Mytilus edulis: one gene and its partners. The protein of the gene in region 1 purifies or fractionates together with the protein of each later gene. This does not show direct contact. Links are inferred from orthologs where the notes say so. Each region holds a gene or a part of one and is shown in the gene's direction. Other genes may lie near its edges. The genes, in order: cullin-2-like, glomulin-like, COP9 signalosome complex subunit 8-like and E3 ubiquitin-protein ligase arih1-like.

Region 1 (7,390 bases):
TCTAAATCTGGATAAAATCCTTCATCACCTGATCTGTTGAAGACACATGAAAAAGAAAATTTGGTGAATCTATCATATATAGAGATATGGAACAGGAAAATGTAGTTTGATCAAAATCTTGAACCGGTATACAAATGTTTACTTATTTGCATACTGAATACTGAATTTGGTCATGTATAATCTGCTATTCTTTATTATCAATTTCAAATTGTCAGAAAGGGTACCAGTGTGAATTGTGCTAAAAAATTAAATAGTACTTCAAGCAAGAAATGAAAGAAAATGTTGATTATACAATGTTAACATTTTATCCTGTTGAACTTACTTTAAATAAAGCTAATACTAACAATGACCACTGCCCTTTCCTCGATCTTAATATCTATATCACTAACGGAAAGCTTAATACTAAAATTTATGATAAAAGAGATGATTTTTCATTTCCTATCGTTAATTATCCATTTTTAGATGGTGACGTTCCCTTGTCACCATCTTACGGTGTTTATATATCTCAACTTGTACAATTCGCTCATATATGTAACAATGTTATAGATTTTAACGAGAGAGATTTATGTATTACTGAAAAATTATTACACCAGGGTTTTCGATATTAAAAACTAGTCAAAACATTTACTAAATTTTATCATCGGTATAAGGACATCATTCGTAAATATAGCTCAACATGCAGACTTCTTATAGTTCAGGTATTTCACATCCAATTTTTTATGGAAATATTCTTTATAAAGCACAAAAATGTCAGTATTCACCTCAGAAACTAATAAAACCTTTAAATAGACTTATTAAGAAGGGATATAGTTACGATACTGTTGTCAGGTCATTAAAGATTGCATATTTTGGTGTTAATATTGATTCACTTATAGGGTCTTTGCATCGGAACTAAACACATTTATTCAAAAACCAGTTATTGGCCTGACACGGGTTATGTTCTTCTCATATATGTTATGATAGTATAATACTAAACCCCTAACGGGAAGGATTGTGCCTGATATTCATATGATGAAATCATAATCTTTCAATCGGTTTAATTGAAGACTGGAGCTGGCATGTCAGTTAACTGCTAGTAGTCTGTTGTTATTTATGTATTATTGTCATTTTGTTTATTTTCTTTGGTTACATCTTCTGACATCAGACTCTGACTTCTCTTGAACTGAATTTTAAATGTACGTATTGTTATGCGTTTACTTTTCTACATTGGCTAGAGGTATAGGGGGAGGGTTGAGATCTCATAAACATGTTTAACCCCGCCGCATTTTTGCGCCTGTCCCAAGATAGGAGCCTCTGGCCTTTGTTAGTCGTGTATTATTTTAATTTTAGTTTCTTGTGTACAATTTGGAAATTAGTATGGCGTTCATTATCACTGAACTAGTATATATTTGTTTAGGGGCCAGCTGAAGGACGCCCCCGGGTGCGGGAATTTCTCGCTATATTGAAGACCTAAAGGTGACCTTCTGCTGTTGTTTTTTTCTATGGTGGGGTTGTTGTCTCTTTGACATACTCCCCATGTCCATTCTCAATTTTATTTGCTGTCACGGTGGGGTAATTTTTGGTAAAAGAGGAGGTTGTACTAATTTCTTTTCAAATTCTTCAATTATTTTAATCTGCCTAATTAAAACATGAAATTTTAATAAAAATATCAAGTATTTTACTGTTGCAAATATCCTTTTACCTAGCTCCATTATGTGTTGCTAAGTAAACTCAATGTGAGACAGTAAAATCTATGTTTTTTTCGAAGGCCAAGCTTAAAATACAATAGTTATTTTCTAAATAGTAATTCAATTTTTGGTTTGTGACTAAAAAAAATAATTTGTTTTTGTATGTGGATATTTTAGCTTATACATAACAGTTTCTTGTACCTTCAAAATTTTGTGAGGAGTCACAATCATATAGTAAATGATCCCTTTAATGATCTTTTATATTTTTTTGAAAAAGTAAAATCTAAATAAGTTAAAGAATTACCTAAGGATTCTAAGTATTCTCTCAAGTTCTTTGGTGTCTGTACATTTCTCTATGTATGGATAATCTAGATGAGTGAGAGGTATGTCATACTTCCTTGTGGTCTCTGACTGGAACAACACATTATCACTCACTGTTGACATGCTGACAAAACCTAAATATATAAATTCTTGGTGATATTTCACTGTCAATACCTTCAAATATTAATGCTTGGTGATATTTCATGTCGATACCCTTTTCCTGTCGAATTTGTTTTGAATTTTTTGCCTACTAAACTTTAATTCTTCTTAAAGTTTTTGGTTTACATGTCATCTTTTTAATTGATTCAGAGTTTCTTTTATACAAACAACCAAATATTTTATATCATACAATGTATGCTGTTATTTGACTGGCAGTTTTGAACAAATTGTTCCAATTTTTTTATAAGTTTTAAATGTCTTCCTCACATATATATATTAATACATTTGTATATATCAAGAATATTTATTAACTGAGAAAAACTGTTCACTTACTATATATATATAATTATTTATAGGACTTCTGATTAATTTATTCACTAATTATGATACATTTAATTTCCATGTATATTTCACATTTCTTTTCCCAATCAGATGGCATTTAAATTTTGGATGCAGGGACTTGTAGCCTACGAATGCCAATTTGACTACTCGTCCCCTCATGTAGAGCTGGGCAGACACTGCCAAATAATAATGGTGTACACAAAAGCATGAAAATAAGGTCATGGTACATATAAGATGAAACCTGCCAGACAGCTACATTTGTATTGACATGTACCTTTCAATTACTCCGGCTATATATATCCATAAACCAAATATAATTGACCAATTGCTGAAGTATATGAGTGGAGACTTAACCTCAAAAACTAAACTTTGAAATGGCTTAAAAAAAAACTTCTGTCAAAACAATGCACCTTATAGCAGATGCTGTTTGAAAATCTGTTCTGCTTGAACTTTTGACATCATACATGTACATGTACAACAATCACTTTTCCATTGTCGCATCAGATATTTTCTATTATAAGGTCAAAATTTTACGGTAACTTTTGTGATGTCTAGTAATGGCAGATAAATAGTGATAAGGTGCATTAACGCAAACATATATAGGAGGGTCTGGATGGGGGGTCTGTTATTCTGTAAACATTTAATTTTCACCCCTTTTTTCTCTATCTTCAAAAAATTAACCCCTTTTTTCTCTAATCTTCAAAAAATTAACCCCTTTTTTCTCTTATCTTCATTTTTTTTGCTGATTATTCTCTAATCTTCATTTTTTAAGGGCATTATTCTTTAATCATTTAACACCATCCAAACCCTCATATAGAACAGAATAAACGTATTTACACTTTTGGTCTTAAGCTGTATTTTGCCTCCGAATGACCTTATATCACCTCCTAATAACCTTTTGACGTCAAGCAACAATCAATTTTTAGCTGTGACGTCAAATGTATTGAATTATGATGTCAAAGTTTACGGGAACCTGTGTGATTTTATGTAATGGCGGACAAATTTGCATACAAGTGTAAATACGTCTATAGAATATATGTTAACAAAATCCAAGTGTGACCGAAACAACTGAGGCTGAAACGACACTAGCCGAACTGGAATTGTGGCCCAAACAACTCAGGCCGAAGTGATATTGTGGCCCGAATTACCTGTGGACCAACTGTTTGTATGACAGAAACGTCTAGAAATCATTGTCATTAACACAGTCAAAATTATACTGAAAGTGAAATAGCAAAAAAAAATCATTCTTTATAGTCTAAAGGAAACTTATATTTCATTTTTAAGCTTTATATGTTAGACTCTACCAGATATTGTTGGCATTTTTTTGTTAAGGAGTCTACATGTTTTTACCTGAAAGTAAATTCTAAAAGGGCACTAAGGGTTGAGAACTGTATCCAGCAAGTTCTAAAGCTGCTAAGGAAGCCTTTCAATATATCTTTCGGAATCAGATCTTTCAAAACAAAACGAACCTATGAATATTTAGAGTTCAATTTAACTGATATTTGTGCAAAGACAATTTGATTTTGTATAAAGCAACTTATATATAATTTTTGAGTGTTAATGTATTCCGGGTCTATAATTTATTGTTTGAAATGAGTGTATACACTAAGTTTAAAAAATTCTTTTCTTTATTTTTTTAACAAATATATGCAAATAGTTTTCCCACGTGACAGAAAATGGCGACCTCCTGTTCATCGCAATCAGTGAAATAAAAAGTTGACAAAACTTCACCAATAACTGCTATCCGACTCGTAAAACAAATCACAGGTTGAACAGTGTGTTATATAGTTATCTTAAACCTAAAATTCTTATCGTCCAACAGTATTTGTAAATATAATTTGTTCTAATATTTTCATAGTATCCTGATTAATTTAGCGGAATTTTTATTCTGCCAGCTAAATTATGTCAATAATGATCTCCACAAATAAGAATCAACAAACTGATTGTATTGCTCATTTTGGTGAACATATGGACCCCATCCCAGTTCCCAAATTATTTAAATAAAGGTCATGTTTGTCACAAGAGGTTTTTACTCTGTAACTTTGAGGATACTAATCCTAAACTGGTAAAAAAAAAAAGGCAGTGTGGTTTATATTTCAGGTTGTATTCCTGATCCGATGCCATTTGATTTTAAAACCAGATGCAGGTACACGTAGCCTACAAAGGCACTTTGACTATTTGTTGAAGTTCCGCATGCGGGTACGTGCAGACACTGCCTAAAAAAAAAGGAAGATAGATAGTTCAAGATAGTTCTAATGCATGGTCAGATCATATGTTTTTGTACATCTTAAGAATTCATATTATGCATGCTTTTTCAATAGAAGTTGTGACGTCAAAATTTCTAAACAATTTTATGATACCTATCAATTAATAATGTACATTTCATTAGGGACTGTCATTTGCTTTTCTTTCATTTTCCTATTACATGTACCTTCTGTTATGTGTGTTTTTTTTGTCTCTCAACATATATATATATATTTCTTAGTAACTCAGTCAACCATGTTCGTCAAAGTTTCATATAATTACTCGCCAAAACGTAATACTAAAAATAAAATTAAGGACTGAAAGTATATACAATGTACATAATATTTATGTTATATGAATTTAAGGCGCAATTACTATATAAGTAAGCCGCCTACCAAAACCAATAACAACAACAGCAATGTCAAAATGCATTCATACATGTATTGGGCTTTGGCCATGAGATGAGGATATTTTTACGTGTCCATAGCGCTTTTCCCCAGAAAAATTTGATGACACATTTTTCCCCAAATGACTCCAGATCAACTAGGGTAGATCATTGAATAAATTGAGATTCTGTGTATTGTATGTAAATATTGTGTTTTTATCAATATATAGTTATACTTTTAATATGGAAATCAAATTCTTTTTTGGGAACTTCGAGTCTGGTACATGTGGTTCTTTTCACATCTGAACACAACCGCACACTGCTTTACGTTGATCACATTATACTGTATATACTATATAATACCTTTTCAGGGATTGCCTAAAGTTATAGTGTGTTAAGTTATGGGTTGTGAGGCAGTGTGAAGACAGACCCTTCTGAATCTGGAAGATTTTTTTTGATTAGGTTGTCCCCCCTCCCCCCAAATCTCTGAGGGGAAGGACTCTAAGGGGGATTACTGGTAAATTTATGCTGTGTTGTAAAACAAAAAGTCCCAATGGAAATTTATCACCCCCATGTTGAAGGTATTTTAGAACCATGGTTTTTAAACCAAAGTCAAGCTTTTCACCATTTATCATCTTCCATATCCAAAGGTTAAGATTAAGATAGAATTATTGATTCCACAAGGTAATGCTATTCATTGGTCTCAGTTGTAATTGGTTGCATTCAATCAGATTAAATTTTGTAAAAAAAAAATTCTGTTTATTCGTATTTTACTTATAAATGGACTTAGTTTTCTGCCAGTTAACATTACATTCACTCTATGATTAAAGTTTTTGGAATTTTAATCACTTTAAATTTCAGTTTCTTAAACTATCCTGGATTTCTGCCAAACTTGGACAGAAGCTTGTTAATTATCAAAAGCTAGTATCTAGAAGGAAATTTTGTAAAAATATATTTCCTGTTTTTCGGTATGTTACTTATATATGGTCTTTCTTCCTGTTAACATTACATACAATCTGCAGTTAAATTTCCTATATTACTTATTAGCTTCATAAAGTAGGTGAGGCACTGGGTTCTGCAGAACCCTTACATATTTTGCTCTAAGTGGGGAATATAATTATAGAATATTGAATCGAGATCCCTACACCCTGTTTCATGTAACTCTTGTTCCTGTTGGCTCTAGTACCTGTTCAACCTATACTGGTAGACCATAATATCTGTTTGTCATATTTTACCTTCTTGTCTTGTTGTATAATGGGTATAATATATAAATTATACCCCCGCTTTGAAAAAAAGGGGGGGTATACTGTTTTACCTCTGTCTGTCCTTCCGTCAGTCCGTCCGTCCCATGAATATTTTTTGTCACATTTTTCTCAGGAACTACACTACCAGGATTTCTGAAATTTGGTTTCAGGCTTGATATAAGTCAGCTATACCGTGTGATGCATTTTCAGATTCATCACTCGGCAACTTCCTGTTTACCGAACACTTGTATCATTTTTACACCTGATAGCCAAGTTGAAAATTTTTCGTCACATTTTTCTCAGGAACTACACTACCAGGATTTCTGAAATTTGGTTTAAGGGTCAATATAAGTCAGCTATACCGTGTGATGCGTTTTCAGATTCATCACTCAACAACTTCCTGTTTACCGAACACTTGCATATTTTTACACTATTAATATTATCCACTTGCGGCGGGGGTATCATCCGTGAGCAGTAGCACGCAGTTTCACTTGTTGAGTATGCATTGCCTAAAGTTATAGTGTTGAAATAACAACACGAACAATAAACAGTACTTTCAAAAATAGTATTGAACATTCTTGATGAAGTCTGTTAAGTTTTTATACGACCGCAAAATTTGAAAATTTTTTCGTCGTATATTGCTATCACGTTGGCGTCGTCGTCGTCCGAATACTTTTAGTTTTCGCACTCTAACTTTAGTAAAAGTGAATGGAAATCTATGAAATTTTAACACAAGGTTTATGACCACAAAAGGAAGGTTGGTATTGATTTTGGGAGTTTTGGTCCCAACATTTTAGGAATTAGGGGCCAAAAAGGGCTCAAATAAGCATTTTCTTGGTTTTCGCACTATAACTTTAGTTTAAGTTAATAGAAATCTATGAAATTTTGACACAAGGTTTATGACCACAAAAGAACGGTTGGGATTGATTTTGGGAGTTTTGGTTTCAACAGTTTAGGAATTAGGGGCCAAAAAAGGGCCCAAATAAGCATTATTCTTGGTTTTCGCACAAAAACTTTAGTTTAAGTAA
Region 2 (8,303 bases), on another chromosome or scaffold:
ATTTGTTTCATTGTCAGCAATATTGGACTGCAATTTTCTCTTTTTGCTAGATGTTTCAGTGTTCAAACTTTCACTCTCATAGTGAATTTCTTCTATTTCGTCCATTACTATGGTACGTCCTTCTTGTTCAGACTGAACATTGTCTTCCTCCCCTTCTTTTTGAGGGATTGCTGACTCATCTTGAGCTTTGTTAACAAACACTGGCCAGAAACTGGCATTCATCTCAGCAAGTTCCTCAGGTTCAGGAGGATTTCTAGGATTGTAGCTAAATCCTTCGGCTACCATATCTTGTTGTTCAGGGCTTAAAAAGTTTAGAACTGAAGTAAGGACTCTCCAGTTGAGTAAACAGGCAGGGCTGTTTATCGGTCGCAAGCTATATCTGAAATAGTCTGTCCATCCCATCTCTTTACAAACTGTACGATGGACTTGCATTTGTATCCCTGTAACATGTGTAGAACGGGGCACAAAAGACTTCTCATTGAGGAAATTCACCAAGTCTTTGGCAGTCACTGGTTCCTGCCTGGTTAACCATTTTGCTAGGAGCATAACCACATAAGCTCTATGTTGGTGAAATCGTCTATCCCCCATCAGTCTTTTGGAATGATAGGTCTGAAAGATTTCAGAAAGATGTTCTTCAAAACAATGACGTTTTACGTCTCTTCTATCTACCACTACTGGGCAGTTCTTTACAGGACATTTACGGTCTGTTCGACTTTGAACACAAGTCCTCTCCCTTTTTCTACTTTTGGGAGAAGTATAAAACTCAAGGCTCTCTCTTGATTCTACCTTGTCAACCCTACTGTCTCTACATTGATCAGGCTCAGATCCCTGTGTAGATGTTGAGGCCCTCATGGCTAGGTTAGACTCTACTTGAGGAACGACTGTTTCAAGATGAAATTCAGCATTGCTGGCTGGGAACCTTTGTGTTGACCCTTCTGTTCTGGGTTTCTCATCTGACGATGAATCTGAAGTGTTCTTTCCATGAACAACGTTGACATTAGGTTCATGAGTTATATTTTCATCTCCTAGTATTAGTGGCATGTTCCTATTCTGTACAGTTAATGTTAGTTCTCTTATATTCATGATAACTCTATTATGCATGATAAAGTCACATCCCAGTATCATATCACATGAAACTGGAGCTACATACAGTTGTTGATTGAACTGTATACCTCCAATCTTAAACTTTATAGGACTAGAAAGCCTGCATGGCATTGTCATGTTGGTACCAGCACCATGCATGGTAGTCTCCCTGATAACATAGGGCTTAGGCTCCAAAGTGTCAAAAATTGTGTCCTTAAGAATAGTTACTTCAGAACCTGAATCAACTAGAGCCAGTACTTTCTTTCTTGCAATATATACTTCAACTCTAAAGAGTTTGGCTGATCCTAGTGATCTCACTGTACTGATTCCTGATACTACTCCTTCAGATTCATGAAAATCGTCTTTGTTATTCTCATCAAAAGATACTTGTTGAGATGTTGGCTCTTTCTGTACTGACTGTCTCCCTCTTTCTTGTACATAAAGCTCTGGACAGTCTTTGATATAATGACCTTGCTGGTGACAATTAAAGCATTCATTATTATAATAACCTTGTCTGGTATATCTCCTGTCGCCAGAGTTATTCTCTCGCCCTCGACCATAATTACGAGTAGGCGAATAATCAGAATACCTGTTGTCTAGATTAGGTGACCTAGAACTAGGACTGGTTCCATGTTTGGCTGATTGTTCCTGAACCAAACTGGTTACTGTTGACATCATTTTCTGTATATGTTCTTCTATGCGAGAGAGACGATTATCCATACTGGACTTGATGCTACCTACACCAAGAACTACTGGTGAGTTAACTGACTTCTCTGAAAGAGACTCCTCCTTGCTAGTTTTCTGAATGGCACTGACAGCCTTCCTAGTGTGCTGACACCATCTAATCATATCCAAGGCTGCATCCATGGACTTTGGTTTAGAGATACAAGCTTCTGTTCCAGCAACTGTATCATTACAACCCTGACAAAACCTCATGATTGCCTGTTCAGTCATTAGTTGTTCACTGTACCTGCTATAAGCTCTAGTGGCGAGAGTCAACACTCTTTCCGACCACTCCTCCAAGGTCTCCTTTTCTCCTTGGGCACTTGTCTGGAACTGAACCTGTGAGGTTTCTGGCAGTTCTTGATGACCAAATCTCTTGTTCATATTGGATACAATATCAGAAAAACTTGCTGTTTTGTTATTTTCTAGGATTAAGGTGTAATACTCACTGGCTGCATCATCTAGGCACCAGCAGAGCTGTTCCCTTTTTTGTTTATCTGTCCACTCGGCCATTTTAGCATAACTAGAAAACTTGGTATAAAAGGTTTTCCAGTTGCCCTTCCCATTATAGCGGAGCGTTTTCAGGATCCAGGACAGAAATTGTCTTTTCTCTATTTTCTCCTTTTGTCTACTTTCCTGACTGCTTTCAGAACTTTGACCATCTGTGTCAGATTCTGATCGGGAGTCACTAGACATTCTAGACCTTCTAGGACTTGAACGACTACGGTGTAATGGAAAACTCCTTACACTTCTTAAAGGTGAGAAATCACGCTGTTGATTCTTATGAGGTCTGTTGTACTCAGGTTCTGACCTTCGCTTTGTTCTGGACTGGCGGTATGCTGAAACATTTGACATGTCAGAATCACCTATATATTTATGTCTAGGATCACTTCTTTCTTGTCTCCCATAGTAATCACTATTATATTCCTTCTGTCTTGCTGAAGGTTGGTTGTAATGCAGCTGAGGTGCTCCTGATGGTGGAGGTTGCTGCTGTGTGCCAGGCATAGGTAACTGAGGCACGTGTAATGGTTGTGACTGACCCAAACTTGGGTACGTTAAACCAGGTATGTATTGATGGTTGTAAGGCGTTAAATTTGTTGGTGCTTGTGGCGGTGGTTCATCTCTAGGAGGTTGATACATAGAAGTTGGGTGACCAATCATCTTATGTTGTTGAACTTCTGGTACAGAACTTGGTGGTTGAAACCTTGGTTCTGGATAATTTGGTTGTTGATGAACAACTTCACTAACCTGTTGTTGTAGCTGCTGTAGAGGTGTAGAAGCCGGCGCTGCAGCTAAATGTTGTTGTTGCACAGGCTGTGCATAGTTAATGACCCCTTGTTGAAGCTGGTCTAGCCGTTGTTGTAGGCATTGTACTTTCTGTTGCATTTGCACTCTTTGTTGACTCTTGTTGACTTCCAGTCGGTGAAGACTATTGAAGCCATGTTGATATTGGTCGACATAGTGGTGCTCATGTTGTACACTTGGTAAAAAGTGAACATGATTAGGTGTAGGTGAATGTAAGAACCTTGGTTGTTGGTCATAATCTGGGCTTTTGTATCTTGGAGGAGTCTGTTGCACCTCTTGTTGATGGTTGCAATCTTCCTGTTGATCTACTATAGGGTTTTGAATATGCCAGTTCTGGCTAAGCGGTATGAACATTCTGTCATATGGGACATCACCGTCCTGTTGACTGTCTGGTTGAGGGTGTACAACCATGTTGATCCTTGGTGGTGGAGTGCGATACTCATTGCTACCAACACTCAGGTCTGAGTCCAAACTCTCTGAAGAAAGGCTCTCCTGTGGTGATTCACAATGTAACTGCTCTAACATAGTTAAATGTTCAGAACGCCTTTGTATTTGTTCCAGGCGATGTTTGTCCCATTCAAGACTGGAGCAGGCTCCATCCTCTGAGCAAGATGATTCTACCTCATCTTGAGTACCTGTATCCTTATAACTTGAACGAGGATACTCCTGTGGTTCCATATCAACAATCACATGATCAGGCTTTGGAGGCAACATACTCACAGAACATGCTCTTTCACGGACAGCTTCCCTGAGCTCAGCTCGTGGTCTCTGTGAAAAATCAATTATGCCCAGAATAACTTCTGTCACTCTCAAGTGTGGAATTTGGAATAAAATATCTCTATCAATGTGGATACCTTTTGCCCTAATATCCATGATCCTTCCTGCTATGGCCTCCCCTATGCCAGGTATGCAGGTAAGTATTACCTTAGGACAGGTGTTTATATTGATCATGTACCCCTGCATAGTGACTTTGTACTTGACAAAGTTATAAAAATTTATTTCACTTTATTCAATATAATTCACAAAATTATATATATACACGGATCAACAATAATTTTTTATTCAATAAAAACTCAAGTCAAAAATTAAATATACACGGAACACTATAAAAGCAAACTGCTCTTGTGTTTGTTTACATCCGTTTGTTTACATCTGCAAACAGAATCCAAGATGGCGACCAAATCTCGCCGCTCACGTGACCTCGCTATCACTAAAGCAAACTTTTCAAAAAGTTTTTCCTCAGCCCAAAAACTATACAAATACGATGTATTTCCACTGACTTTCACCTAGAAAGTATACCACCGGACCTGGTTTGCCTCCCTTAGACAAAAAACTTATTTTTATATAGATTTGACTGAAGGCACTCAAAATTTTGGAGTGATGCCAAAATGGCGTCCAATCCCCTACAGGACCAAAATTTAAACCACCCGCAACTACCAGTAAAGTGTTATTTGGCCTGTCTCGCTGAGCTCTATGGTTACCCGAGGGGTTGATACAAGCTATGCTTAGTGTAAGAGTGCCCTTACCTTCCTACAAGGTGTCAGTCCCAGCTAACCTCGTCTAGCCCCAGATATCAGGCGCATTGCCTTGCTCGTTCCGTGGTGAGAGAGCTGTACTCGAGGAACAGGCTGGAAGTACCCAACTGTTACGTCATGTCATGTGTCCCTTCGGATCCCTCGGTGATGTACCAGTACCCTTGTGACAGGTTGGGGAAACCCCCTTGAACTACGGGGCAATTACACTACATCCCTAAATTATTGGACACGGAAAAATCACAAAACTTTTCCGAGTCCATCGGGTTTTATATCTAAAGGGAGAGCACTCCTGATAAATAAAAAAAAAAATATAATGGCATGTGCAAAATGCAGCAAAACTTTATCTGGTATCTTTTTTAAGAGAATCTGTAAGTGTATATGTATTTTAAGGTTTAAATGGACACTCCATTTTTTTAGCCACTCTAGATCTTCAGCCGGTACTTTTTCAGACGTATAATTCACCATGATTACTCAGATTATTTATTACGCAAGAAAACCGGCATGATTTTTCAGTTCATATCAAAATATATTTTTAGTGTATAATTTTATCTTCATTCGAATTTGTTATTAGCTACTCATGGATAAAGTTTTTAACATAAATTACATTTGAACTATTATGTGTATCAATAAGCATGTTAAGTGGTTATTTGAGAATTTGCTTTTTCCAAAGCCAATACACCTTAACCCTATTCCCGGCTGACCCTGCCGCTTAAACTTGACGTCATACAACAATCACTTTTCCATTGTGGCGTCAGATATTTTGTTTTATGATGTCAAAATTTTATGGGACCCTGTGTGATATCCAGTAATGGCGGACAAATAACGATAAAGTGTATGCAGTGTCTGACCAATTGCGGCGACAAATAGTTAAATTTGCCTTCATACTCATACGGTTACCCGCACCCAGATTTATTTTGAAATGTTATCACATCGGGAATGAAAATTAAAAAAATATAAACAGAAATTATTGACATGAATTTGCGGATATTGTGGATTCAGTGAAGACAGGAACATACATGTATGTTGACATAGTCCAAATAATTATGCAAGGCTACAAAATGACAAAGCAGACATGTGTAGAAGACCTACTTTTTTCTTTATAATTTCTGATAATATACATCTTTATCATTAAAATGTCATTCAAACCAGAGACATATAATACAATAGACCACTTTCGAGTTCATCCGTCACCGGAAAAAACTCGTCAATTATACGCGCTTTTATCACCGTCATTTGTGCGTTTTGGGGCGTCGTCACTTCCCTTCCAATGTTGAGCGAGTGGTTGGAAAACTATAATTCTATATTATACGAATTATTCGGCAAATTGAATTCTCAAAATTGACAATCAACACTGCTGTCATTAGGGAATTGTCAGTAAGTACCTACAGAGCAACCATTATTTCTAGTTTATCCTGCACAAAGACGATCACTAAGACGCTTGATGAACGTAAATAGTGCAGGGATACAGGCAACCCCCTCTATCTGGTAAATGACGTCATAAAGGCATGCATAATTGACGAGTTTTTGCCGGTGACGGATGAACTCGAAAGTGGTCTATTATATGTCTCTGTTCAAACTAAGTTATATAAGTGATTCCAGTGTATAGAACTCGTAATCTGTCATTTCAAATTTATCATAATTGCATTAATTTTATAAATCATGTAAGGTTACAGAATGCTAACAGGGTAATAAAAAAAAATGGTTCCAATAGCATGATGACATTTCCAATTTCACAACCATTATAAAACATAAAAAATCACACAAAAAAATCACACTTGTATTGGTCATTTTACGGTACCATGATTTCTGGAGGATTTAACGAAAAAACTAATATCCCAAGGACAAATTCATTTGTCCCAAAAACATGGTGTGATATTACTTAAAAAATATTAAAGTTTATAATTTTAAGATATTAAATGTGCACATGAAAACAATATGGTGGATGTAATTATTCTTGCAGTACTTTAAAAATTAAAAGAATTAAAAGTACTGCAAGAATAAATTCTTTAAAACATAAACATACAGTTATAATCACTTTACAGTCGAATGATATTCCTTTAATATGAGTAATTATGTCCGCCATATTGTTTTCAACCAGTAATTTGCATACAAGACATACATGTACCAATCGATTCTTGAAGATAACTTGTACTTTTGTTGAGTATTTACGACTAAAACATCTTAAACCTTATAATTATACAAGTTTAAACAGTATAACACCATGTAAAATATTTTTTTCGGGACAAATCAATTTGTCCTTGGGATATTGATTTGTTCTTGTAATCTTCAGGAAATCATACATGGTACCCTTCATTTTATATGACATAATATATCTACTTACAATTAAACTTGTATTTCATGTATTTGTATGTATATACAAATATATGTGGTTTCAGTTACCCTATCTATCCTAATTTTTAGTCTTAGCAATAGTCTACCATAAAGATTTTTTTGTCATTTTTCATTTAGCACTGTTAAAGTCAGATTGTTGCTTCTCTAGTATGTATATAGACACATTGTTTAAAAAAAACATAAAATAAAAATAAAAATCCCTACCAACCTACCCCAACTTTTCTATAGATGTTACTGGAACCACACATACATGTACTATTTTATTTGGCCTTAAACAAAATTGTCAATGTTCATATTTTTCCAGGCCACATTTGCCTATTGTACATGTAATATACATGATCTAAAATGTTCAAACAAAAAGAGAATGTTATGCTGGTGTCGGTGTATATTAATTAAACATTGATTGGTTAAATTAAAGATATGGGGATCGGATAACATTTAATTTAAAGCCGTGTGATGAAATGTATTGATTGTATACATGTACATAAACATGATAAAGGCTAGTTTTTAAAAGTTAATATTTCTTCATCATGTTTACATGAATTCGTACATAGTTTTGTTTTGTGAAAGAAATTTTTATTTATAATATCTGTTAAAAAAGAAAACTATTAATTTAAAGAATACCAGCAAAACTTCTCTTTTTGTTTTTCAGGAATTTGTGTAACACATTGTAACCATGGCTACAACAGATTTTGACATGTATGGTGAAGATTTAGAGGCAGGGTCAGTTCTAGAGAACATCAAGGACAGTCTCAAGTACAAGGATGCCAAAAGCTTGAAGATGTTTATTTTGGAGAGAAAACTTTCTGATGATTCAATATTTTATGAATTAGTTGGAGAATTGGCCAAAAGTCTCACAGACGAAAATTCTAAAAATGTGCCAATATTTTTCGAGGCATGTGAGAGATGCATGAATTACATAGTAAAACGTGGAAACCCAAAAGAGCTTATCATTGCACTTCTTGAACAAATGGACTCCTTTAAAGATGATGAGAAGTTTAAGGCTTTGTTAGGGTACATACAGCAGACTTTAGTGAAGTTGCCTTCAAAGAGAACAGAATCTTTGGAGCTTACCCTTGAAACTGTCCATGCTCATGTTATAGAATTGCCTACCCCTGCAGACCATCAGCTTGAAAAAGACGAGCGAAAGTTGTTAGAACTGGATAGAGATGTAAGGCGAATTACAGATGTTATTTTAGCATATTTAGAATTCCTTCAACCTTTTGTTAAGGAAGTATCTTTGAAGAATCCAGATGCTGATCGAGAGAAAGGTAAAAAACAGATCGGGATGCTGATGGAACGTCT
Region 3 (7,785 bases), on another chromosome or scaffold:
TCCATCATAAAAACTCTTGGCGACTATAAAAAATAATATTTTGTAATTAAGACTTAAATTAACAATCAGTATTAAAATACTATAGAAAACCACTGAACTGGCACTTCTCCCTGTATGAATTTACATAAGTTTTCATATAAGAAATTAAATAGAACAACAAATGTGTACATGTCATTTGGCAGTATTATTCCATCAATAAAAAAAATCCAATTCAATTTCTCTTTTATGGACAATCATATATTTTAAATGGGAATTCCACACACAATCAACATACTACAATCTGTCTATTGTGGCATTGCAAAAGATCAAGTTTTCTCTGACTTTTAATAATGACGTCTTTATACTAAATCCATTCGATTTTTGATGTGTACTGATTGATATTTTAGTCTTAGGTACATAATATTCTTTTAGTTGTTAACTTGTTATAGGCTTTGAACAAGCTGTCAATAACTGCAAGTACTCTTGTATCTGTACTTTGTGATATTTTGGTTGTTAGGAATGAATAAATAACACCACTGTCCCAGGTACAAGGGAGGGGTGAGCAAAAGCTAACATGTTTTACCCTGCCATATTCTTGTGTGCAAGTCAAATGTGCAAGTATAAAATCATAATGTAATTTTTTTAAAGCAAAAATAAACCCACAGAAATAATCACTAGCGTTGCAAATCATTAATTAAATTGAAGACCCATACCATTAACAATATATAATTACATATTACATATATTTGCATATTAAGTTGACAACCAATTATAACTTACGACAGACTCCCTCCTAGCAGGACTACCTGGTCTATGTTTCCTGAACCAAGATGTCTTCCACATGTCCAACTTTTTACCTTTGTACATCACCTATAATATTTATTATAAGATCAAACGTACTACACACAATTACTAAGTTATGTAACAAAGGATATTCATTACCTTTAAACATTACATGAAAACTTTCAAATTTTGTTAGTGTCTTTCTAGTATTCAACAAGTTCAAGGTAATGGCCGTGAGTGAGTTTTTTTTATTTCATTAAAATACTAAGTTCTTTTATTGTTCTGATATTGTACAGGTCTTTTTGTTGGTCTTCCTTGAACATGAGTAATGATTCTTTGCAAACAAAAAGTAAAGAACATCACAGTTTGAAATACAGATCTTGAGTCCAATGCTTGTTAACAAGGATCTGACAATGCTACTTTCCACTTCCTATTTCAAAGACCTTTCAGGATCTTCTAGTTTTAGTGTAATGATGCACACATTCAAAATTTTAAAACGGGAATTGCAATAATTCTAGTGCAATCACCTTTACTTCATATCTCTTGAGAAAGACGAAAGGTTGCTCTAATCAACTTATCAAAATAAGTAGCACTTCAGAAAGATATACCGGTACTTGGCAATAATGAAGTTTTTTTTCAAAGATTTCATTGAAAGTGTCAATCGAAATGTATCTACCTCTGACAAGTCAATAGGAAAATACAGGTAAAGACTTTAGATCTGTACGTGCAAAAATTCTTACATCTTTTTTTTATTTTTCAATCATCAATATTCAAGTTATCTTTCCCTTATTATTGAAAAGTTTACAGGAAACTTGGACATTATTGTGTGCATTTATTATTGAAATTTTGTCGTTTAGTCTTAAATGCTATTTCAATTTTTGTGATTTTGAAAAAAATCTTGTTAAAATCTTATACAAAATTTCAAAATGGGGGTTTAAATTGTTGTTGCATTTTTTGCAATAAAAAAAACATTGCAAAAATTTCTAAATTTACAGTACAAAAAACTTACAGAATTCCATCCACAACCAGATTTTTTCAGGGGGTTAACCTGGCGTTTACAATGTGCTGCCCAGGCACTTGGTGTGCCAAACATCTCTTTGGTGGCTGGCGTCATTATTTTACCATTGGGCAGTAGGTCAGCGATAAACTTCCTTCCCTAAAAATAACATTAGAAATTTTTGTGTAAATCAACATCATCAAAACATATTCCCTTCACATAAACACATTATATAACATGTATTAGGCAATGCAAGCTCAACTGAATTATCTCCCTTTAAAATTTGAAATAACTATGTTTTAAAATTAAAACTAATAAAGCAATCTTTAACTGCATAATAAATACTTTAAAAATGTTGTTATATGTGTCTTTATAGTAAAGAAATTTTTCGGTCTAATAACTTATGAGTTTGAATTTCCTGTTTAACATGTATCTTTCACTTCTATTGTTTAACAATAAACCTGATCATGAAGCAAGCAACACCACCATGAAATTTTGCATAGGATATATTCTGTGGGTTCTGCACACTTTTTGATCATATTATTTGATAAAAAACATGACTGGACTAAAAAATGCTCCCACAGCTTTATGTGTGCTGTTCTATTCGCTGTTGTTTGTCTATTGATTTTTTTTATCCTGGTATTGTTTGTCAATAAATATTTGTATTCATATTTCTGATTTGCCCCTAAATAATTTCATGTCAATTTCTCTTACTAAATATTTAAGTGTCAGAAGTCCATTGCCTGGTTCTATAATGCCATCGATAATAAGCATCTGTAACGTTACACCACGACCAGTAATGGCTGTTTTTACAAAGTTCTCTGATATGCTACTTTCTTCATCACAGTCATTTTCATCGTCAAATTCTTCCTCCATTTCGTCCGCCATCTTGTTATCTAAAAGTAAATTAATTTGTCATTAATGCATAATTAGATTCTCGCTACATTGAAGATCCATTTGTGGCCTTTGGCTGTTTTCTGCTCTTGGGTCGGTTGTTGTCTCTTTGACACATTCCCCATCTTCATTCTCAATTTTATAATGTGTAATAGAGACAACAACCGACCCAAGAGCAGAAAACAGCCAAAGGCCACAAATGGGTCTTCATCACAGCAAGAAAATCCTGCACCAGGAGGGTGGACTCAGCTAGTCGAGCTTTGGTTAAAAGTTTGGTTTTTATGTAGTTTTGTTTCATCACTAGTACTGTCCCATGTGAGGAGTTAGGTCGAGTCAGTTTTTTGTACTTATCATGCTCATACTCCAAAATCAACCAATCGAAATGTTGGATTTCATGTTTCGCGCATGATTTTTCTGCTGCAAGTACTGAGCAAAATTTTATGACTTCAACCCAAGGTATTCAGAAAGTTGGAAAATTGTTGCCTTTTATCATGTTTATGTAGTCATTTGCAATTTATAAAAAAAAATAATTTGCACTGTGAAGTTATATCAAATTTTTGGGTATAATATCGAAAACAGATACATTGTAGACAATTCCTAATCTGGTCTAAGCCTTGTTACCCGATTTTAGGGAATTGGTTTTGTTCATTGTTGAAAGTAACCTAAAGGTGCTTTAATCCACATCATTTTGTATTTCTTCATGTTCTTGTATCCTTATCTTATTGGCAAGCATACCACATTCTACATCTCTTGGATCGTTGTCTTATTGGCATCTCCTTATTGTATTACATTGGCAGTTGCTATTTTGCTGTCACCAGCATAATAGCCATGACCAATAAATAGCTTGCACACTAAATGACCATTTTTGTTTTTGAAGATTCATTTCATGTCATGATTCAAATCTAGGAAAATTGTGCTGCATTATTGAGCAATTATTTAGTAGTTTCACATATGTCCATGGCCTATATATAATATATACATTTTAATCATTTTTAAATGTTGTTTTGAATAAATTTGGGTTCAAACTCTGAAATTCTTTGACTGTCCACTGCTTTGGTTTAAATAATTGCATGAAAATGATTGGTCGATATTTGTCATTACATCAATTTCAGTAAGAATGTTTGAAAATAATACCCATTTTTATTCAAACATCAATATATAGTTTGAACATTGTTTACAAACAAGTTTTCCCTCTTTGTTTACATGTGCTTCCTGTGACCTTTCAGGTGCGGTTCAACATGTTTTCTTGAATTTTAATTGGATGAATAATTTAGCTAAAAAATGAAACAAATAGGTAGAGTATTCAAAATCTACAAATTTGTTACATGTTTCACTAATCACATGATTTATATGTTCTTTCTTTTCAAAAAAATATCTAAATATTCGTTTTTTTTAATTCTCTGCGTGTCTAAAACGTAAGTTTTGACAGATTGTTCTCATTCGGGATTTTATAATATACAAAAAAGTCCTACCATATAACTTTAAATAACAACGCACCCAAATGTTCAAAAACAAAATTAGTTCGTGCTCACGAAACAGTTTTCTGAACAAACCTTAAAGATAATTCAAGACAAACCATAGCATCATACATCTTTTTAGAGTGTCCAAGCCTTCACTATTAAACTTTAATTAAATTTTCAGTTTGTGGTAGTGCGCTGTTGTTTAAACTTAATTTAAATCTTTGACTATTTTTTGCTAGTTCTTAAAATCAACAATCTGAACAGAATTTTGCTGACTACAAAATTCGCACAATATGGCTGCCGAAATTGCGGCTCATGAAAATTTTCAAACAATGCAGATAGATTTGCAAAATCAAGAACTTGACGTAAACTTTCTTCATACTTCTTTATTGAAATATATATGTCCCTTAAGTTTTCTTCCGTCAGATAGAAAAATTCAAATCGGAACTTGGTCAAATCGGCATCACAGTGACACCTGTCATCTTTGATGGATCATCTTTGAACATCTTTGACTTTGAACCTCTTAATACTGACATATTTTCTTATCCAACTGGTACCTAAAGTTATAAGGGGATTTTTCGTACGGGTATGGATAGTTAACCCCATATTGACAGGAATCCGGGTCCGTCCGCCCTGATTTCGGTTCGCCCTAGTTACTCTTCGCCCTAGTTCCGTTTCGCCCTGAGACTGTTCGCCCTGATACCTGTTCGCCCTGGGTTTTATTTTTTTGTATAGTGTTGTGTTGTGTGTATTTAATTGAATATGTTGAAGTCAGTCTACAATTTCGCCGAATATTTACGATTTTTATTTTTTAGTATAGTGTTGTGTTGTGTGTATTTAATTAAATATGTTGAAGTCGGTCTACAATTTCGCCGAATATTTACGATGTATTATGTTGTCTACAGCTAGCTGCTACTAGGTTATAAGTTCATGCCTAACAATTTGTACATCAGTGTTTTTACCCATCCAAGCTGACTATTTTATTTTAGAAAAATGTTATTTTCATTATTAATCCATCAAAGGCAATTCATATACCAATCAGTGATATCAAAGATTTCAAATCATATCTAATCAGCAATAAAAATTCAATCAACATGCAGTAATTAAAAGTAATTATAAAATAAAGTGTAACAATGCAGCCAAGAATTTTATTTAATTAATATTCTGTATTTAACTGTTAATAGATATGAGACAATATCTGAAAGAGTCTAATTTTTGGAAATAAGAAAAAAACATTTTTTTTTAGACCCAATATTTTAATAGCACAAATCGAAGAACACACATTGGGGATCTAGGAACTGTTGTCTGTAATTCAAACAATTGTTTAATAAGGAAACAATGGCTATTTTAAAAATGGTACAAAACAAATGCAGTTCTTTCCTGTTACCAAGTGAATCAATTTTAAAAAGTTTCTAATGGGAATAAGGAATAAGTTTAAGACAATATTTGTGGTTTACTAGTATATCCTGCAATAGTTTATCAAATGCCAATTATTTATTTTAGCATTTGCAATACAAAAGGTTTAGAAATATACTTAAATATAGTCAGATATGTCGGTAACATGAAAGAATCTTGAGTAACAGCACAACGGTAACAGGACAGAGTTGGTAACAGAAAGGATTTTTCTGCTTTATTTTAAAGTTTAAGAAAAATACACCATTTTAAATTGGTCACAATTGGAAGATAACAGCAAACAATGTCATTTATCCTTTGAAACTGTATTTGCAAGATGAAAAATCTGCCTAGGTAAGGAAAAATTCTAAAATAAATTCCTTTCTGTTACTATCTACTAAACTAGAACATGTAGAATTGCACAATGCTCTCTGCTGTTATCAAAAGCAAAAAACCTATTTTTTTTATTAAATATACTGTATATTATTTAGAAATTTCTTTAATATGGTGGTGATAACTTATATTAAATAAAATGGTTGGCATATAGTAGATTAACTTTTCGATTCTTCAGTGAAATTGTCTTGAACATCCTTCCTGTTACTGATGATGGTTATGCTGTTACTTTCTATCAGGTAACATGACAGAACGTAACAGAAAGGAATTACGCGATAGTTTTTGTCCTTTTTATCACATTAAATGTAAGTGTATTTCCTGTGACATATAACTTTTAAAAAGATGATATAAAAACACACTTAATGCTGTGGTGCACACTTAAAAATATTCTCAGAAAGCGTAAGAAAAGGCTGTAACAGGATAGAACACCAATAAGTATTTTTCTATAAATTCTTACCTTGGATGGGCTTGAATTTTCAAACCTGGCCGCCTTTCCAACTATTTCTTTGTACTAATGCATTCAGGAAATGATGCTCTTCACAATACATAATGGGAAAATAACTCTTGGTCTTGCAAACGTTTCAAAAAACTGGTAACAGGAGGGAAATCACCCCTGGGGACAAATTTTTTTTCTCTTAAAATTTGCAAAATTTTATTACATGCTATAGTTATAATATAAAAAGACAAATTAGGGGCAAGTTTATTATCAGTCTGCACGGTTAGCCACTAGTCCGATGCCCCAGACTAGTAAAATTTCATTCGGACTAGTAAGTTTTTGCAAAACTTTGTTTGGCCCAATAAGAAAAATGTCAGAATATTGGTCTTCGGACTAGTAGTTGAAAAAGTTTTTGGTGCAGACTGTATTATATAATATATCATATATATATGTGAGAATCGGACGCCTGTTTAATTAATTTGGATATTATTTGAATGATTTAGTTTTCAAAAAAACACAGGGGACAACATGATTTTAGGGGGGGTTGAACATTTAAATTACAATATTTTATTGGAAGAAATATAAGAATGAGTGTTTAATTGGCAGGCCATGGTGCATTATATAATTTACTTTATACTGAAACTTAAAATTTTCAAAAAAGATGGTTGAATAAAAAAATACTTGCTGGTGAAGTGCGGGACATGGAAATTAGACTTTTTCAGATATTGTCTCATATACATAAATTTTAATATATATAAATATATATTTCTTTCATTAATGTAACATAAATACATATCATAAATGAAAATAGGGCGAACGAACCCAGGGCGAACGGATTACCAGGGCGAACAAACTCTGTGCGAACGAACCTAGGGCGAACATCAGTCAGGGGACTTACTTAAATAAGTGATTTTCTAAATCACTGATTCAAGTAACATTATTTCCATAAAGGTTGGAAGTTAGAGTTGTCTTTCTTTAATAATCACCTATTTAAGTAGTACAAATTAATCACTAGAAGAAGTGATTTAATATTAGTGTAGCTTTAAATATAGAATACTAATGATCCAGGGACTAATTATGTTTCTAAACTTATCAGAACCAACATCTGTGTTGTCTAGGATGACCAGGTCATTTCAGGTGATGACCTTGTACTGAATCTAGGATAATGACATAAAAATCACTTGTTTAAGTATCAGACCTCAATTTCCTTCCCAAAAATCACTTCTTTAAGTATCATTCTTTTACTAACCCCCACTAATTTCAACACCCCCGAACAGTGAAATTTTTATGGCGAACAGTAGAATTTTATTACATAATCTGAAAGATGAAACCTTGAACTTCACAGGAAAAATACTCCCACTGCTGTGAAAAATCTTTGAAGAAAGTATCAGTTCATTATGTAAAGCTATTATTATAGCATTTTTTCAACTAAAATAGAATTTTCAGGTAAA
Region 4 (8,453 bases), on another chromosome or scaffold:
CCTACGTTGAGATTCTCTCCAACAACCTCCATGCAGTTAGCAGTCTCTCTTAAATGCAATGCACCAAGTAAAGTTGCTTGGTGAAAGTATTTAAATGCAGTGCACCAAGTATAGATTCCTGCACCAAGTAATGCAGTGCACCAAGTAGATTTGCAGCACCAAGTAAAGTTGCTTGGTGAGAGTTTTTAGATGCAGTGCACCAAGTAGATTTACATGCACCGAGTACGCTGAGTATTCAAGTTGAATGCAGTGCACCAAGTAGATTTGCTGCACCGAGTTAGCTGAGTATTTGAATGCCGTGCACCAAGTAGATTTTCTTGCACCGAGCAATTGTTTTATTAATCTTAGTGCAAGTAATGCACCTTGCCGTATTACTTATTGTATTTAATTATTAACGTATTTTGTTTCTTGAACCGCTGTATTTGATATATTGTTTAAATAGAAATAATACAATTAATGAACTTCCATTATGATCTTTATTATTACTTCCTTCACCAGAGGCCCACAAAAGTAATTACGGGTGTACATCCTGACAAGAAAACCCCGGAACGTTACAATATCAATCTTTATATTTTGTCACAAGAAGCTCATCGTTCTCTTATAATGTTTTGACCATGATAGAATAACCGAAGGATGGTCTGTTAATTATCCGCTATCACTTGACAGTGTATAATCCACAGACAAGTCAGCTTCTGCAACCGTAATATACCGATTTTATCATTTCTGTGTCATTTGGTCTCTTGTGGAGAGTTGTCTCATTGGCAATCATATACCACATGCATCTTCTTGTTTTATATTTATCCTAGCCTTTTTGTAATAAGTTAATCCGATTCCTTATACAATACATATTTGCAGATACTTAAAGTAAACAAATTCTCATTAAATATAGCTTGAACTAAACTCGTACCCGTTATACCAAAAGCACGGAATGTCCGCATGCAAATCAGTCATGTGACGTTTTTTTTATTGGACTGCAAATAATATAACTTGTCATGATAACTTGCATTCAGTTGTGTATACTAATGATTCTTCAAATCAAAGGGAACGGCAAATGTTTTGTCGATTTGTAGCCTTTTGAAACTCAGACTTGTTTAAATAGCATCAGATATACCAAGGATTTGTATACTATCTATTGTAAAAATTCGTCGGTGTACTGGAAAGCGCAAAAGATATCTATATTTCCTTCTTAAATAATGTTTGTCGAATCGAAGCCAATTGTTACATCAAAAATGTTACCAGGGACCAAAAATTTACAGAATAGAGAGTAATCGGATGCTAAAACATGAAGAATAGATACAAATAAGAAAAAGAAAGTAAAGAAAATGGCATAAAAATTACAGAAGACAGAAATAAAGACGTATCCAACCCTTACACAATTCAAAAGACTGTCAAAATCATGATAAACTTCAATAATTTCCTGTTCATTTATTGCTTGGTGTTTGCTCTACGTCCGTCGGCAAATATATCAGGTTCTTGTCAAGATAGAAATTTATTCATATTTGCATAGAGTGATTGCCGGACATCCATGCTGGATGAGTGTGTTGCGTGTTTATGGATGTTGTTTCTTTAATTCAAATTTCACAGCCATAGTTCAAAATACCTATATTGATAAAATATTCATTGGGGTCACTCATTTTCCGACCTAATGTTTCTGCAGTTGTGGAAAGGTATTATGAATGCTGCACTAACGTATAGCTATTAAATAGAGATAGGGATTATGAATGCTGCCCTGACGTATAGCTATTTGATAGAGATAGGGATTATGAATGCTGCCCTGACGTATAGCTATTGGATAGAGATAGGGATTATGAATGCTGCTCTGACGTATAGCTATTGGATAGAGATAGGGATTATGAATGCTGCTCTGACGTATAGCTATTGGATAGAGATAGGGATTATGAATGCTGCCCTGACGTATAGCTATTGGATAAAGATAGGGATTATGAATGCTGCCCTGACGTATAGCTACTGGATAGAGATAGGGATTATGAATGCTGCCCTATACACAGCTATTGGATAGAACTACAGCGTGAAGGTAAATAATTTCTGGGGTAAGCATTCTTAAATACCGAAGATTTCGTCCGGGGTAATCATCATTGAAGGCCGAAATGTTCGTGCGTAACTCGGAAAAAAATCAAATTTGATAAAATACGCATTGGGGTCACCCACTTGTTCAAACCCATTGCATCGACAGTTCTGTATGGCTAGGGATTATAGATTCTGCTCTAATAAATAGCTTTTGGGTGTACTTCAACGAGAGGTCAAATAATTTCTGCGGTAAGTATTCCTAAAGGCCGAAATTTCGTCCCGGAAACATAGAAATAAAGCCATATTCGATAAAATACGCATTGTGGTCACCCACTTATTCAAACACATTGCCTCGGCGGTTTTTTTTTTTTGTGGCTAGTGATTATAGACGCTGTCCCAATGAATAACTATTGGATAATACTACAACGAGAGGGCAAATAATTTCTGGGATAAGCATTCTTAAAGGCTGGAAATTTTGTCCGAAACATGGAAATAAAGCTAAATGCGATAAAATACAAAATGGGGGCACCCACTTTCCGACCAATTGTCTCCGTAGTTCTTTATGGCTAGGGTTTATAGACGCTGCCCCCAATGAATAGCTATTAGATAATACTCAGTGGGTAAAGAATTTCTGGGGTAAGCTTGTTTGTGAATCGTCATAATGATTTTTTTAATTGTAAATGCTACTAGTAATTACAAAACCGTAAATATGAGTTAGAAATCTGCAAACTTAACTTTTAGAATTTTAATAATGAGATAGAAGAAGGAGATGCTTTATTTCTATCAAATGGGCTCACAAGGAGCATAATATAATATCATTATATTATTTTTACAAATATAATAATTAATACAGTATACATATAGTTAGTTACAAACACAAATAATCTGAAACGACAGTTTTCATATATTCGTATATATTTTAGTAGTATATATAAAACCTTCGTCTCAGACATACCTCTAGAAAGTAACAAAAAAGAATTCTGTGAGTTGGCTAAATATATCTAGCTGAATTGTAGGATGCACCAAGGGACGGTGCTCATATGGCATGGTGGGTGCATGTTAAAATGTGTATCGGGACATTAATGATATGGTATTAAAGATATTGTAAGAAGTTGCAAATAACTGGTATGTCATCCTCGTGCCTGGTGCAGAGGAGTCAGTACTATTTGAACATGTTAAAGTGACACAACTGCAAGAGGCACCAAGGGACAATTGACATGCCAAAGTGCACATATTACGAAAAAGATAAAATATTACCAGTTTAATCAAAAATATCACAAACAGAAGGGTAATAGAACTTATACGGTGGGTACTGTACCCCACCATGCCAACCTCGTGTCTAGTGCAGAAAGCCTGATTTAAATATTTATCTTTCAAGTTATATTTTGTCTTCGTCAACTAACATGACTAACCCTCAGACAGATATCAAGATTCTCTACATTAAGAAGCCATATCCGTTTTTGGCTGAGGAATCAGATGCGTAAAGTGTGGGCATAGTGAGTTAATGGTGGAATTTAAACAATTTCTCTTATCTTGAGATGATGCACACGAAAATAAAAAATGTTTTTATTATCAACTTTATTTGAGGTGCACCTGAGTCAGACATAATCTTTGATTTTCTATAAACTATAAATCTTGTTTTCGAATAAAAAGTCAAAAACTATGACATTAGACATTAGACATTATTTTATTATACCAATCATGGGCCCTTGTCGGTCAAGATACAAAAACATCATAATACAATGATTATATAAACATTAGTGAAATACACAATAAGTAATACACAAATAATAAATTGATAATATGAGCAATGTAGGATATAATTATGGTAAGAGGCATTGAGTGTAATGAGGCCGATTTGATATTATAAGAATATGATATAAAGTTTATTAATACGAAAACAAAAAAGTAAAAAAAGTAAAATTAGAACCGGGAATATAGTATCTCATTCTGCAGTAGTTCTCCTCATGACCAGTGCACAGCAGTGAGGGACTTTTACATCACAACAATGCAAAGGTCATCAAGGGGAGATCCTTCAGAACTAGCTACAGATACATGAGATTACTCCAATAGTGATTCTCCTCATGACTAATGCACAGCAGCAAGGGTTGACATTGCTACTGGGCAATATTCATCAAGGGACGGTGCTCTAGAACTCACTATACAGAAAATATAAAGTTCAAATTACAAGTAGTAGCGGGAGATAAATCCCATTAAAACTTTTCATATTTCTTAATGAGCATGCATAGTTCTGATAATAAATTATCATCTTCATTATTCATTAACCATATCAGTTTTTGGTTAGGGTCAAGATTTTTAAAATTCTTACAGCTATTATTTATCATTGTTATCATGTCTTTCCTTTGGTCTGATAAACTATCACAGTTGAAAAGAAAATGTGTTTCATCTTCGACCTCATTACTACAACATCTCTTACATATTCTATTGTGTCGGGGAGTATTACTATATCTACCTCTCTCTATATAAAGTAAATGGTGAGCAGATATGCGAAATCTTGTTAGACTCCGTCTATCTTCAAATTTGTTAACAATATTAAGATATTTTTCACAAACAAAATTTGATTTAAAAGTAACATATGTGCGTAGTTTTCCTTCTGAGTTAGTTTTGAGATTTTTTTCCTAATCTTTCAACATGGCATTTCTTAGTTTTCTGTTGTCAATCGGTTTAATTAGCTATGATTTTAACATGTTTAAAGAAAAATAAAATTGCCGCTCATGTAGTTTTCCAAACGCAATTGCAGGATAGCTTTTTATAAACAGAATTGCAGGATGAGAATTGCAGGATAGCTTGACATTTAGTCATCACTATATAGTCTATTAATATAACCTAATATAAATCATGAATTCAATAGTCCTTTTACCAGAGACATATGAAATCATAATCTCTTTAATTTTAAAATAAACAAACTCAAATAATTTGTAAATAATTTACAAGAACAAGTGATTTTACGAAGTTCTACATGTTAATAAAAAAAAACTTCAAAAGGACTCAAAAGGCACCAAAACGGTGATTTTGAGTGAGTTATCTTCTCTTTGCTCCGCTCTTTTGTGCATTGAGGTAGTTTTAGAAACAACAAAAAACTTTCCCAGAATCCTCGAGAATGAGGAGCTCGGCGAAGGTGATATCATCTTCGTAAATTCAGATTTACCAAAGCTTTCTTTTCAACCAAATTCAATTTATGTCATGCTCGACAAAAAGGGAATGTCATTGTTTATATTTTAAGTAAAGATTCAATCGTTTCCCCTAGTAATTCCAAATACTGGTGACCGTCTGTTGGTCGCAGACCGAAGATGACGTCACAGATGTAAATACGACCTGTTTTGTGCAACAACTCATAAGAGGGATCTATAAATATTTCAAACAAAGAAAGAAAATGGACAGTGAAGATGATATGATATATGATGAGGACTCTGAAGGTGAAGTTGAAATCGATTCCAGTGATAATGAAGACTTCGTGGAAATGGCTGAACCCTCCTCCACACAGGACAAATCTGAACAAGAAGAATTTCCATTTGAGGTCTTGACTGCTGATAAGATAGTAAAGTTTATGGTTGATTGCATTAAAGAAGTTAATGTTGTGGTTCAGGTGTGTTTGAAAGTTATGTAAAATGTATATGCTCTTAACAATAACAGGTTATGCACAATCTACCAAATGAGGATAGTTCCTCGAATTAGTGGAATGAGTAACTATGTGTCAAGTGTTGTTTACTTTTTAGATTAATAATTTCATAAAGTCATATTCATGAACAATTGCCTTTTTTGTAAAGTTAACTTAAATTACAAGTTGCAATATTCATTAGAATCATCCAAAACTGATATGTCTGAGGGTTATGATTGACTACATGTAGATACAATGACATAACAATGAAGTATTTTAAAGATTAATACTCATACTGTTGTATGTTCTGACCGTGAAAGGGCTTTATAGCCAGTCAAGGTTGTTAAAAACTTCCATTTGTTGTTTTTGCATGTTTTGTTTCAGATAACCATGGTCATTATTCAATATTAAAACATTTGTACATGTATGTCAGAATAAATACATGTAGACATTTGATTCCTTCCTATCACTGACAGTTTAACCTGCCACAAACTTCATGAATGTACTTGAAATAGAAAGCTGTAATATGAATTCAGCTGTTGTCTTTGGTTGCTATTACCCATGTCGGGGAATATTGCCCAGCCTGGGAATCCCGAATCCGGGTTTTCGCCCTAATTCACATTTGCCCTAGTACCTGTTCGCCCAGGGTCCATTCGCCCTGATTTTTATTTTTTTCTAATTGTTGTCCAGTCGCATAATTTTAGTTATTTGAACAAAATATGTTAAAATATGTTGAAAAATTGATAGAATATTTATATTGCCGCAATCAATTTATCATTTTCCCTTTGATTTACAGAGTAGAATACTGGAATACAATGTATTTCTCTTTATTGATGACTATTCTCAGAGTATAATAATGAATGAACTTTCCAGTTCGTACATCATTGTTCTTATTAATTTCAAGCTGAATATTTTATCAAAACAAAACGTTTGATTTTTATTAATATTCCATCAAAAGACAAGTATCACAATAATCAGTGATCCGAATTATTTTGTCATTGAACAATAAATGATTCTAAACAAGCCATATAATAAATATTTCCCTGTTTCCATAAATTTCAAGAATATATACCATAGAAATATCTGAATAAGTTTATTCAACTTCAATGCCCAGAATATTAATATTTTTTTAGTAGGGCGAACAGACTCTATGGGCAATAGAAATCAGAGCGAACATGTTATTAGGGCGAACGGTCCCAATACCGGGAATCCCAGCTGGGTTTTCCCACCTGGGTATTAATTCATGTAACACTTTGCCAATCCTGCTGAAATATGATAGCCCCAAATTCTAATCAGCTATAAATAAAGAGAGACTGATACAGGTACAATGCTCATGACTTAAGGTAAAGAAAATTATTATAAGATATTTTATATTATTATCTTAAGAGTTCATACATGTACTATAAGATAAAAAAAATTGTTTCAGATTCCTCCAACAGTGATAAGAATTTTACTGAACCATTTTCGATGGGATAAAGAAAAGCTTATGGAAAGGTAATGTAAAGTTTTCAATTGTTTGGCAGATAAATGTATGAGAAAGGAAGTTTAGCTTCAAGTAACATTTTAAAGTATATAAAAGCTTAAAAATTTTAACAAAACTAAAATTTCTGATTTGGATCTTCAATGCTCTTCAACTTTGTACTTGTTTTATGTAGACGAAACGTGCGTCTGGCATACTAAATAATAATCCTGGTACCGTTGATAACTATTTAACACAACTTTTAAGCACTGAAAATACTATAAATATTTAGTGGTGGCCAGTTTTTATTGGTGGAGCAAACCAGAGTGCCAGGAGAAAACCACAGACCTTTGAAAACTGACAATCCTAGTCAATTAAGATTGGAGTTGAGTGCGACCCAAACTAAGAAAATACATTTGTTTCACTTCTTATGCTAAATTTTGTATGTTGGTTGGGAAATAAAAGTGTTTTTCTTTAGTGTTTAATAACGTTATAGGTACTATGATGGTGATCAAGACAGACTGTTTTCTGAGGCTCATGTTGTCAGTCCATTGAGAAAAGATTCTGGAACCGGAGCAAGACCTAAGGTAAATATATGTACTGTGTATTAATGATGAAGGAACTACTGTAAAAGCAAAAGTTTTTATTTAGGATTTTATTTCTTCTATTTTGAGGATAGATATATGTCACCCATGGAATTCAAACCCTAACAGAATTCTAACCTTTAAATAATAACATCCACATACTTTAAGACAGGAAAATTAATCCCCACAAAATAGTGTGTTAGACAGTGTTATTCCCAGATTCTTCATACATATAGCATCCTGGTAAAGAGGAAAATTTGAAATACCATCTTGTTTCAAAAAATATAGCATCACAATCCAGAAAAATAGCATCATATGGAAGAACACTGGTCATGCTGGTTAGAGACATAACCATGGATTTTGACCCCACAATAGTTGGTATTTCATCTGTATTTTGCTAAAATTGTAGTGAATTTTGTTTTGTAATTAATAATTGCAATGATCATGGTGATTTTACATATGTATGACTAAAATTGATTTTTCTGATAATAATAAAATAATTAATGCTTTTCTTCTATGTTATAGAAAATGACTAGATTGGCAACATCAGCTGATAGTGTTCCAGCAACTTGTGAGATCTGTTATATAACTAAATCACAGAAGGTAGGTGATGCACTTAAAGACACTAATAAAATCCTGACTGGCAGAGTCCTTAATTATTTTGGGTCAACAAAGATTTATGAAATATCTACATGTACTCTACTCCATGGTGGAGACATGATTTACAATATCTACTCTACTCCATGGTGGAGACATGATTTAC

What was found.
Region 2: the proteins of cullin-2-like (region 1) and glomulin-like purify together in Homo sapiens (co-immunoprecipitation; 4 studies listed by BioGRID and IntAct, counting the BioPlex papers as one, with this or other methods). This does not show direct contact. The link is inferred for Mytilus edulis from reciprocal best matches to the Homo sapiens genes CUL2 and GLMN.
Region 3: the proteins of cullin-2-like (region 1) and COP9 signalosome complex subunit 8-like purify together in Homo sapiens (affinity purification with mass spectrometry; 4 studies listed by BioGRID and IntAct, counting the BioPlex papers as one, with this or other methods). This does not show direct contact. The link is inferred for Mytilus edulis from reciprocal best matches to the Homo sapiens genes CUL2 and COPS8.
Region 4: the proteins of cullin-2-like (region 1) and E3 ubiquitin-protein ligase arih1-like purify together in Homo sapiens (affinity purification with western blotting; 3 studies listed by BioGRID and IntAct, with this or other methods). This does not show direct contact. The link is inferred for Mytilus edulis from reciprocal best matches to the Homo sapiens genes CUL2 and ARIH1.

Annotation. Positions count from the first base shown.
Region 1 is NC_092345.1:87,330,010-87,337,399, reverse strand, and holds the start of cullin-2-like, read left to right. Parts: upstream 1-4,156; 5' UTR 4,157-4,266; intron 4,267-7,390. Other genes in the region: sperm-associated antigen 1-like, read right to left, coding at 1-33, 1,972-2,111.
Region 2 is NC_092348.1:32,593,092-32,601,394, forward strand, and holds the start of glomulin-like, read left to right. Parts: upstream 1-4,913; 5' UTR 4,914-5,014; intron 5,015-7,650; 5' UTR 7,651-7,674; coding exon 7,675-8,303.
Region 3 is NC_092357.1:67,739,316-67,747,100, reverse strand, and holds the start of COP9 signalosome complex subunit 8-like, read left to right. Parts: upstream 1-4,365; 5' UTR 4,366-4,406; coding exon 4,407-4,478; intron 4,479-7,785. Other genes in the region: MPN domain-containing protein-like, read right to left, coding at 1-23, 760-849, 1,772-1,918, 2,474-2,655, 3,788-3,791. UniProt on the Homo sapiens protein: Component of the COP9 signalosome complex (CSN), a complex involved in various cellular and developmental processes.
Region 4 is NC_092347.1:4,650,068-4,658,520, reverse strand, and holds the start of E3 ubiquitin-protein ligase arih1-like, read left to right. Parts: upstream 1-5,123; 5' UTR 5,124-5,422; coding exon 5,423-5,635; intron 5,636-7,073; coding exon 7,074-7,141; intron 7,142-7,602; coding exon 7,603-7,693; intron 7,694-8,215; coding exon 8,216-8,293; intron 8,294-8,453. UniProt on the Homo sapiens protein: E3 ubiquitin-protein ligase, which catalyzes ubiquitination of target proteins together with ubiquitin-conjugating enzyme E2 UBE2L3.